3 linked regions of the Coturnix japonica genome follow. The protein of the gene in region 2 interacts with the protein of the main gene of each other region in a pairwise test. Links are inferred from orthologs where the notes say so. Each region holds a gene or a part of one and is shown on either strand. Other genes may lie near its edges. The genes, in order: GJA4, OPRM1 and RANBP9.

Region 1 (3,751 bases), on a different chromosome or scaffold from region 2:
CAGGGAGGAAAGGGAAACAGAACAGAGGAGCAAAGCCCACACCCTGCGCTCATGCTCTGTAGCTGCACGTGGTCCATGAGCAGCAGATGGAGCAGGTTCCTGCAGCCCCTTCCATCTCACAGCTTTGGTGGGCAGTGGTCCATTCCTCTGCCCCATCACCAGCACTACAACCCACAGCAGGAGATGACTAGTGCAAAGTATTAAAAACAACGACCCCCTCCAACTAGTTACTGCTATGCTAATTCCTCCCCAAAACCACTGGGCTCAAGGGCTTGGAGGCCTGGGATGGACGTGGCTCTCTGGTCCCCTGCACCACGGCACCTTTAAGGCAGAAAGCTCCGTGCTTGGGTCGGCACGTTAAAAATAACTTAAGAGACATCACATGGGAAAAGGTCCAGGGACAGGACACAGGGGGGGTCCCGGGGCACTCAGGGCGATGGGGACGTGCGGTGTGACAAATATCCCAGTGCAGGGTTAACCCCACTGTGGTCCACAGGGACAGGAGAAGCTCTGGCAGCAAAGCCCCAGCACGGAGCAGTGCCAGCTGTCTGCTGGGTCACAGGAAGGGGACACAGCCCACGGCCAGGACAAGAAGCTTCCCATGGTTTCACAGTGCTCCCAAACCAACAGTGGGACTTGATCTTGTCCCAGGGGCCAGCTGCATGGATAAGACCCCCTGCCAGCCTGCTCCCAGCCCTGGGGATTTTCTCCCTTTCCCACATTGATGCCAAGTCCCTCTGCCCTTCACACGCCGTCCCAGCACAACCCAGGGAAGTTTCCATGTAGTTTTCTTCCTTGCAGGGCCCATGGGGAAAACAGCAGAGAGCAGAGGTTGTGCTTGGGGGCTGGTGAGTTTGTAAGCATCAGGTCCCAATAGCAGGCACCACATCCTTGGGGTGGGCACAAGGAACAGTCCCCCAGTCCAAGCACAAAGGGACCAGGGATGGCCCCAGCCTGGCCCTAGACATACTGCTTCTTGGATGCCGAGCTGCTGGGCCGGCTGCACAGCTTCTCCTCAAGGACTGGGGCATCTGGAGCCCTGGGGGCGTAGGGGTCCGAGAGGGGCCTGGTGCTGCTGCCCAATGCCAGGTTCTCCTCATTGCGGAAGTTGGCCCAGTTCTGCTCACTGGAGAGCTTGTTGTAGGCCTGGTAGGGCGGCGTGTGGCTCTCGGACATAGGCAGGAAGGGGTAATGCTTGGCTGGGTAGGGACCCGAGCCCATGTCATCAGCAAAGGCACCCTGGCTCGGGCCAGCCGGCACCGGCACCTTCTTGATGTTGTTAAGCAGGCTCTTGCAGCAGAGGTGGAAGAGCTCCAGGAGGTTGAGGATTAAGGAGATGAGGCCCATCACCAGCATGAAGATGATGAAGATGGTCTTCTCGGTGGGGCGGGAGATGAAGCAGTCCACCTGGTGTGGGCAGGGGTCTCTCTTGCACACATAGCGTGGCACCATAGAGAAGCCATACAGGTACCACTGGCCAACAAGGAAGCCTGCCTCAAAGATGCTCTTGCAGATCACACTGATGATGTACGTCCACATCAGCGCCCCTTGGATCTTGAGTCGCCCATCCTCTGTCATGTAGATCTTGGACATCTTCTTCTCTACAGCTGCCAATGCTTGTTCAATCTTTGGGTCCTTGCTGTGGATAGCCCGGAGCTCATTCTCCTGCTGTTTCAGCTTCTCCTCCTTCCGCGAGAGATAGACAACGTGGCCCAGGTAAATGAGGGTCGGGGTGCTGACAAAGAGGAACTGCAGCACCCAGTAACGGATGTGGGAGATGGGGAAGGCTTTATCATAGCAGACGTTGGTACAGCCGGGCTGTTTGGTGTTGCACACGAAGTCCGACTGCTCATCTCCCCAGACTCTCTCTGCAGCCACAACCAGGATCATGATACGGAAGATGAACAGGACTGTGAGCCATATCTTCCCGATCACAGTTGAGTGCTCCTGGACTTGGTCCAGCAGTTTCTCCAGGAATCCCCAGTCTCCCATCTTCTAGGAGCCTTGTGCCTCTGGCAGCAGAGGGAGGAGAGGGGGATTGAGTCAATCCTGTATTCACATGCTGCATCCTTAAGCTTTCTCAGGACCTTCAGAAGGTCCCAGCAAACCCACTGTGAGGGCATGACTGGCAGCTCGCAGGAGCAGCCTAAACTCACCCCTCCTACAACCCAGCTCCAACAAAGGGCAGCAAGCAGCATGACTACAGAGACAGCGGCACAAAGCACTGAGTACAGCTGCCACCCCGACACCCAGGCAGTGCTGTCCCCACATTGAGTGCACAATCAGAGTCATTAAAGATGGAAAAGACCACTAAGCTCAGCCCAACCTCGCTGTAGGATAATTCCACCTCAGCCCCAAATTGTTCCCCCATAGCCCCCAGCCTGGGGGTCCCAAAGCAACTTACTACACACAGACCAGGAACTCCTTGGGGGGGACCCTGGTTGTCCCAAACGGAAGCTCTGCCGACCAGCCAGCCTGCCCCACATTCCCCCTCATACCACAGCCCTGCAGCCCAGCTGGGAAAGAGGAAGCAGCCACAGCCCTGACTCCTAATTAACCCCTGCCAATTAAGCACAGCTGGACCGTTAAAGGAACACGTCTCCCGGTGGGATGGAGAAATGCCCCGAAGCAGAAAAGCGGGTGCATGCAGAGAGCAGTGACCCCATCGCAAAGCAAAAAGTGATGCAGTGCAGGGGGTCCCGAGGGGTCCCACTCACTCACCGCCCGCCTGGCAGCGCTGGGCACGTCCCTTCTGCCTCGGGCCGTGCAGGTTGTGAGCGGCAGGGCCGGGCCGGGCTGCGGGGGCCGTGCGGGACCCGGGGGAGCCGGAGGCCGGGCCGGGCCGGGGCCGCCCGCTCCCACCCCGTCGGGGCGGGCCGGGGGCGGTGGGGCCGCCAGCACCGCCCGGGAGGGCTCCCGGTGACGGTGGGAGGCGGGGAGAGAGAAGTTGTACACGACCCAAACGCGAATCGTTGCCGGGGCCGAACGTCGGAGTCAATGCAGTACGGGACGGGCGGGGGGAGAGGAGCCGGCGGGGGGTCGGCAGCTCCATGGGGGAGACGGGGACAGAGAGCGGTGGGAATGGCTGTGTCCTGTTGTTCCCTGGGGAGAGTCCGGCGGCTGAGAGCCCAGCACCCGTTCAAAGCCCTTCTGCAGCCGGGGGCATCGCGAGGCGGCGGGGACAGCAGTGAGGACATCAGACGGGAGACGCTCCGGCCCCGTACGGCCGTACCCGGAGGATGCTGCCCTCGGCACCGCTCCGTTCCTGCGGGATTTGGGATATTTCGCTCCTCCAGGCGCTCGTGGAGCGGGGCCGTGCGCGGCGTGGGCGCTGGGTGGTGCTGGAGCCACACCGCAGGATGAGCTTGGGCAAAAGGCACCGAGCTGCGGCAGCCGTCGGGTTCGAACAGAGCCCGGCTGAGATAAGGGAGGGTTTGGGGACAGCGGGAGGTTGTGGGGTGGCACCGGGAGGCCGCGGTGCGGATGCTCTGAGTAGCTTTGCTCTTAGTGAGGGGACCGGAGATGCGGCTGATGCAGGAAAGCAGTGTAATTAATGCTGGTATTTTATGCACAGGGTTAAGTCCTGCTGCTCAGGGGGACAGAACCCCCATTTGTGTTCCCCCAGCTGCAGTGGGATGGCACACAGCACAGGCTGCATGGGAGCGGCAGGACTTGGGCAATCCAAGCAGAAACTGGGCCAAGGAGCTGCTGCCTCTCCCCACCAGGATGTGGCATTTTTTCTTCACAGACA
Region 2 (3,646 bases):
AAAAGGTTGCAGGTTTTCAGGATATGATGTGTAGTAAGCAGATTTTCTTGATGAAAATTTCTGTGTGGATATCATGCCTGTACATGAATAGGCCTGGATACTATGGGCACCCAGGGCAGAGGGATGGTTGTGATTATTTCCTGATGTAAGTCCATCTCACACAGAATATAAACTGGATTTTTAAATTCAAATCCAGGAGCTAGCCAATTTACTGATGTGAACACAGAAAGCAAACTTATATAGCATCTAGAATACCAGCTTCCCTGCAGTTGCTACAGATACAATACAGGGAGTGAATGAAATCCTTCTCTACAAGTGAAACTCATGGAGGGTTCCCAACTAGAAGGAAAACTTCTGGCTGGCTATGAAACAGTCTCTCATGCAAACACGACAGCACTGAAGATTCGTTTCTGTGTCGTTAAAGTTCAGACCCAAAATTTGTTTCTTACCATTCTCTCTACCTTGTTGTATTATGACAGACTCATGTTCACCCTGATTCCTGGGTTGCCAGCTCAGCTTTACAGGGCAGCATAATAGAAGCAAATGGGATGTAAATACCTATTTAAAAACACACCCTGTAAACACACAGACTGGTGGGGGGCTGGGGGCATAAAACAAGTAATTGCTCATTGTGTTTGCAATTTCTTTCCTTTCAGTTGGAACTCCAAGAAGCTGAAACCACCCCACTGCCGTGACAGGGTCTGCTGCAGTATAGCTCTCAAAGCAATTACAAACCAGTGCCACAGTGTTTCTGTGCAGTCTACTATGGGAAGGTGTAGGATATGCTTTCCCTCAAAAGAGAAAAACCAAAACAAAAACAACAATAAAAGAATAATCATAGAGGAAAGTGCCTGCTTTTCCAGTCTGTCAAAAACTGCTTCTGCAGCACTTCTACACTGCTCATAACAGAAGCATGAAACTCAAGGGCAAGCAGAGCCAAAAGGTATGGGGGCTTTCCAAGCTGCACTGTTCAAAACAGTCATATTATATATACATCTGTTAGTCTAAAACAAAGCTATCTGATACGCTCTGGCAAGTTAGAATGGCGTTAAACAGGTTGGAAACAAAAGACAGACAGCTTTTGAAAAAAAAAAGAAGTTGAGCTTTTAATGACAGGAAATAATGGGAAATGAAGTTGGGTCTGTGATTTATATTTAAATTTCTTTTTTTGTAGAGGTGTTTTCTGTGTAGGTTGTTTGTGTGCCAAAGTCTCACAGGATCATCTAGAACAACATGTTGGAAACAAGAGTTCTTCACTTATAAAGACTGCATATTCCAAAACTTCAAAGGAAAAATATTTCCTTCAGTGATAATTTAAAGAAAAGAAAAACCTCTAAGCATCTCCATTCTCTTCTTATATAAGAACTTTTACAGTCAAAACAATGAGGTATCAGTTCACCTAAAAGAGTAAATGGAAATATCCCATGCTGTTATTAGTAGAATTATCCCTAAAAAAGCATTGACTGTTACGGTAAACTCCACCATGAATCTGCATGAATAGATGTACATCTATCAGCTTGTCAATGAATTCTCTTTAGTTTACCAGATTTCAACTGCCCTGTTGGCAGTATCTCAAACTTGGAAGTCAACAACTTGTGTGAACTGGTTGGAAGAGTTAGCACATCAGAGCTGCTTAAAAATATATATATACATTTTGATAGATTTTTTTTTTCCCTTAACCAAACCCATGTTTGCTTTTCTAACTAACTTAATGCAGTCTGCATTTCCATTCTGTGTTATCTAGTAAAACATGTGAAGATTTATGAAAGAAACATCATACCGAAGTAAATGTCATCCTAGTAAATGTCATCTTATCTGTTTTTTTGTATGGAAAATAGAGATATCCATGTAGATAACTTGTGGTGCAATAGTATTTTCTAGCCATTGTTTGTTTCTTGCTTTGTAAATAAACCATCAGTAGTTAAGTGGGGGGGCAGGGCAATATACTTAAGTGTACTCTAAAATACAACTCTATGGAACAGGGTTTTCTTTCTATTTCTTCTTATTTATTTCTTAATTTCACTATTAAAACTCGTGTAACAGAATATGATTTTAGTGTGAAGTCATTTGTTTCTGCCTTGGACTATGTAATAAAGACTGAAGGCCAAATCCTTGTGAGTTGTAAATTGAAGTAACACTACTCTTGTCTCATCAGTGTGGTGAAGCTAAATGTGTAGATAAATAGGTTTTATATCAGCATAATGTGAAATTGGATGTAGCAGAAGTGCCTTTTTTCCATTTTCTGTTAAAAATTCTGCCATGCTGTCATAGAGGTTCCATGTTTAATTTTGCATTAGTTTAGCAAGATTTCCTCACAGTCATCATTAAATTTTAAACCAGATCTGTCATTATCTAACTTTAAAAAAGCATGGGATAGGAACCTGAAAAAAAAATTGGACGTGTTCTTTTGCACTACATAGCAGTATTATTTAACTAACAAGAACATAAACTAAAGCAGAGATGCAAATTAGTGCTGTCCAACAGCACTGAGTCTAGCATGATCTGAACAGTCTACCATGCTACAATATACCAAACTGAAATACACTGAACAACTATTACAAAAGCCTTCAGCAGTAAATTGGGAAGAAAACTAAGATCATAGTTTAATGGTTAGTTTGAAGTACCTTAGCTGTTACAGAATTTGCATAATGAACTGAAAACATCATTTCTATACTTGGAATGTAACAAAGCTCACAGGTAAAATCCTATGACTTGCCAACAGCAAAAAGTTTTAAAAGATATTTTAGGTTTCTACAGTCCAATAATTAATTGAGCAACCTCACAGTAAATATTTTTAGTAGTACTAATGTTTTTGTAGGCATAATGGTCCAAGGATATGAAGAAGCAAATTTTATTATCAGAACATCAGCAAAAATAAGTTAAATGCCCTGTTTGTTTATCAAAAGACATGGATGTTCGCTGGCAGTGCTGTGGAGAAAGTATCATGTTGTTTCGCAATCTGTGTATCTTCATTGTAATCCTTTAATAAAAATGCTTGTGTTGCTTGTGTACTTGCACATACTGTATTCACATCACAGCACATGTTGATCATCATGCCCTTTTTTAATAGCTCATCTCTAGAAAATGCTGTGCTATCAACCAATACCAACACATCACCTTGGATGTTCTCATATTATCTGACTGCTTTAAAGAACAGCTACCATGTTTTATTTAAAAAGGAGGACATGCAGATAGTTCATTTCTTTTTAAGAGGTGTACATACCCATTCCTATGATTCTGTAATGCACACACACAGAATGCATAGTACAGCACACAGGGCCTCAGAGGAGTTTTATGTGTAGAAGAAAGCAAATAAATCTTCAATATTAATGGCCCTTCTGTACGTCCCTTATGCGCACACATTTCTTGATGACTACAAGTGATCCAAAGCAGGCCAGCAGCTGCTCTCATCTTGTTCCCAGCCTATGCAAGTCCCTAGAAAACCCAATTGTCCTCAAGGAACGTATCTGCTGCCACTGGTAGTCCTACTAGCCCAGTGATACAATACAACAGAATTCCAAAGCAAGAGAAAAAAAAAGAACACAAAACTGCATCAAACCCCATGTTCCATTTGTCTCATAGACACCATCAAACCACAAAACAGTTGAGCTTAGCAAAACACATGCTGGTGTCAGGAAAGGACTGG
Region 3 (3,651 bases), on a different chromosome or scaffold from region 2:
TGCATTAAAGTGAGTCTTCAAATTATACAGATGTGTGTTTATAGATGACACAATTACCTTCTGAGAAAAGAGAATTAAAGTTTTTGCAGAAACTTAAAGTTAAGCAGCTTTTTTTTAGAAAATGTGTAGTTTTTTTTCTTTATGCTGTATTTATTTGCTACGTGTTAAACTAGGTTTTGTTATCAGGGTCTTGTTTTGCAGCATAATTCACATCTTGCTGTAGACTTGTCCTCTAGTACTGAGTTTTTGTATTTTTAAATACGAATTTTAATCGGATTCAGTGTCAAGTAAAACTTTAAAATGTAACTGATAGAGTGTCGTATGCAAGAAGGTTAAGAGTCTTGTGGCATAAGTTGGTCTGTTCCTCCAAATGGCTGACTGACATTAAACACCTCTTTAAGATGAGTTGTTGCACTCCTTGTCACTAAACTGCAAACGTCTCTGGATTATACAGTGAAAATTCAGTAATCCCAGAGTCCTTGTAGCTTCATGGGCATGCAACATTCACCTTCATTCTGGCATTTCTACTTGCCAGCTGTGCTGATCCTCCAGGATTGTTTTATCATGTCACAACATTAGAATGTGGGGAAAAAAAATCTGCTCCTCCTGTAAGAAGAAAGCACTAGAATTTTTATGTTCAGTTAATTTACTTGAAACGTTTGAAGTCTGTCACTCAAGTGCTGAACAGAATTCACGTGATAGTACTGCAGACTTACCACAGAATGTGATTTGATGAAAGCCCTCACTCTAATGTCAACTGTATGTTACCTTTATCTCAATCTGTCTCGCCAAATTTTGCCTGCTCTATTAAGATTACCTAAGCATAAAACATTATGCAGTAGCTCTAAGCTTCATCAAACTCCATAGTAAAATCTCTACCTAAAATAAAATTGACAGAGTAACCACCTCTAAAGGGAAGGTTTGTATGTGAGTTTGCTTACTAAACTGTTTTCTGGTGTAAATGTCTCATGTTAAAAAAACTTTGCCTGGAACAGTAAGGATTAAATGATGTTCTCATTATCTTTGAGAGAAATAATGGGCACAGCAAGATAACTATATATCCTTCTCAAGCAGTACACTTGCCCCTGCCAATAAAACAAAACAGTTTAACCAAAAAATACATTTTAGTGCTCTAAACTTTGAGGACTTATTGCCAGAGCTCATCCTCAAAGATAACATTCCTGTTCTTCTCCCTCCTAAACTTCCTAGTTTCCTATTTTGGCCAATACTCAATTTGTTGATGATTGGGTTAGTGACGTCCAGCGTTTTGTTGAGTCAGACTGTTTTAAAGTGTATTTAATGCTAAAATCAGTGCTATCATTGGTAAATTGAAGTGTTTGAATTGTTTTGTTAGCTTAACTTCTTTGTCTTTTGTTTAGGGTGCGCCAGTTCATAGAGATGGTGAATGGTACAGACAGTGAAGTGCGGTGTTTGGGAGGCCACAGTCCAAAATCTCAAGATAGTTACCCTGTTAGCCCACGGTCTTTTAATAGTCCTAGCATGAGCCCCAGCCATGGAATGAATATTCACAATTTGGCGACAGGCAAAGGGAGCAGCACACATTTTTCTGGTAAGTTGATGCGAAAGATATACCACATCTACAAAGTTTTTTCTGTGGTTTTGAGTACTGGGAGAAGGCACCAATATTGAACCTGTGGATAAACTGTTTCAGTTGGGGCTGAGGCCTTTAGCATTGAAGCAGAGACCTAACAGTCAAAATACGTTATTCCCAATCACTACAGAAATAGTATATATGAAATCTTAAGAAATTATTGCTTCTGTGAGGTAGGAGGTTCTGATGTGAATTTCTGTTGTCGCTTTGGTATTAATCCATGGTTTAGGCAAAGTGCCTGAAGTCCAGTAAATGGTCTGTGGTGTTTGTGGAATAGTAGGAAATACCAGGAGCTGGGTGGCCAAGTTAGGTTAAACAACCAAAAAAAATACTGCTGAGTACTGCAATCTGCACAGCTGAAACTGTTCTGAAAGCACCTAATGGTGGTGGCAAAGCTTCAGTGGGAGATGAAGATGTTCAGATCTGCCCTATGCCAATAGAAAGATTCCAGCGCTGGTACTTGAGCATGTCATCTCTGAAGTCGGTATCGCTTTGGTAGCGTGTAGAGGTGGTCAGCTTTCAGTTCTCTTTCTTTCTTAAATCTAAACTGGAGCAGACTGGGAGCTTTGCTGGTTTCTTGTTTGTTTTTCCTTCTCTCTGTGGAGTCCAGAATACCGTCTGCTGCTTCAGGTGTTTTAGTCTTGTTGCACTCAGTTGCTGTTGTTTCCTTGGGTTCTTATCATGATATATGGTAGAAAGCACCTCTAACTTTCTTATTTTGAAAGCAGAGGCACTGCTTAATAAGGAAGCTGGTAAATGATGTTGTTAGCAGTGAGATTTAGGATTTGCTGAATGGCAGAAAATGGCAGGGGGGTGGAGGTGGTTGGGGTCTTTCATTTGTTTTTTAATAATAAATCTTTCCTGTGACCTATTTCTGGGTTAGTTGATGTTTAGGGAGCTCCTACATTTATGCTTGATTTGCCAATTATGTATTTGCTTCAAATGGTTGTTCATTGATTACATTTTAGAAGGGTCAGAAGAAATTTTAGCCAGACATGATAATTTCACAGCATGGTATAATTTTTATATAGCAAAGCACAATACTAGCAATTAAAATAATTATATAGGAAAGCAGGAGGGTTGTATTTGTGTAGCAGCATGGCAAACGTTTCAATACTGAATTTTACTGTGTGTTTTCAAAGATAATTATGTGATAAAGAATTAGTAAGATGCATGGCTGCTTTCATTCTTAATTATTACCACAGTGGCCTAGAAAAGGTTTTTACATCTTTCAGAAATGTTTCTAAATGATTCTGTGTTGATTCAGTTTTATGTTTTACTCATGTATATGCAGTACTGAATAAAAAGCTTCCCATCTGTAAGTATTTGTTAAATCATGTTTTCACTTCTGTACTGTAGAAACCTTTTAAAGAATGAATACCTGAAGTCTGGAGTCTGCCTTTTTAGGATTATTTCTTTGACAAATGTAGTATTTTGTGGCTGGGAGCAATTATGTGGTTCTTACTTCACTTGTGTTAAATTGGTATCTACAAACGTGTTTGTAATTAATTACAACTATAAAAACTTTCTTTCAGGGTTTGAAAGTAGTTGCAGTAATGGAGTAATATCAAATAAAGGGCATCAGTCTTACTGTCACAGTAAGCATACAGCCACCAGCTTGAATGTACCAGAGCTTAACAACATAAATGTATCGAGATCTCAGCAGGTTAACAGCTATTCAAGGTGAGTAAACTTCAGTGCTTCCAGTTTGTGCTTATGTAGTCTACATAGTTTTTATTATAGAGAAGAGTTTCTAGAGGAATTTTTTTTTCTTCCAAGAGTAGTTACAAAATATCATTGGAGGGCACTGGTGGGAAAGGATAAATACTGCTTCTGTTCGTGATTGCTTGAGTCTGCTCTGGCTTTAACTTCTCCAGCTGAAGAGACTGTTTTTTCCCATTCAGTTAAAGAAATGCAATGAAGAAAACTTACCTTCCTTATAGCTTTTGGTGTTCAATTTAGAAGCTGTTTAGGGAAGATCACCTAGCTCACTTGTAATTCTAATTTAAACCATTGACATTAGTTTAAGAACCCTCAAA

What was found.
Region 1: the proteins of OPRM1 (region 2) and GJA4 interact in binary tests that used the Homo sapiens proteins (3 or more experiments, as listed by UniProt). The link is inferred for Coturnix japonica from reciprocal best matches to the Homo sapiens genes OPRM1 and GJA4.
Region 3: the proteins of OPRM1 (region 2) and RANBP9 interact in binary tests that used the Homo sapiens proteins (3 or more experiments, as listed by UniProt). The link is inferred for Coturnix japonica from reciprocal best matches to the Homo sapiens genes OPRM1 and RANBP9.

What each region holds. Positions count from the first base shown.
Region 1 is NC_029538.1:3,939,652-3,943,402, forward strand, and holds the start of GJA4 (gap junction alpha-4 protein), read right to left. Parts: upstream 2,843-3,751; 5' UTR 2,722-2,842; intron 2,671-2,721; exon of another isoform or gene 2,405-2,670; intron 2,013-2,404; 5' UTR 1,993-2,012; coding exon 961-1,992; 3' UTR 1-960. UniProt on the Homo sapiens protein: One gap junction consists of a cluster of closely packed pairs of transmembrane channels, the connexons, through which materials of low MW diffuse from one cell to a neighboring cell.
Region 2 is NC_029518.1:45,152,365-45,156,010, forward strand, and holds the end of OPRM1 (mu-type opioid receptor), read left to right. Parts: intron 1-656; coding exon of another isoform or gene 657-695; exon of another isoform or gene 696-1,110; intron 1,111-1,174; coding exon 1,175-1,318; 3' UTR 1,319-3,014; downstream 3,015-3,646. UniProt on the Homo sapiens protein: Receptor for endogenous opioids such as beta-endorphin and endomorphin. Receptor for natural and synthetic opioids including morphine, heroin, DAMGO, fentanyl, etorphine, buprenorphin and methadone.
Region 3 is NC_029517.1:68,402,220-68,405,870, forward strand, and holds part of RANBP9 (ran-binding protein 9), read left to right. Parts: coding exon 1-9; intron 10-1,379; coding exon 1,380-1,570; intron 1,571-3,147; coding exon 3,148-3,295; intron 3,296-3,651. UniProt on the Homo sapiens protein: May act as scaffolding protein, and as adapter protein to couple membrane receptors to intracellular signaling pathways. Acts as a mediator of cell spreading and actin cytoskeleton rearrangement.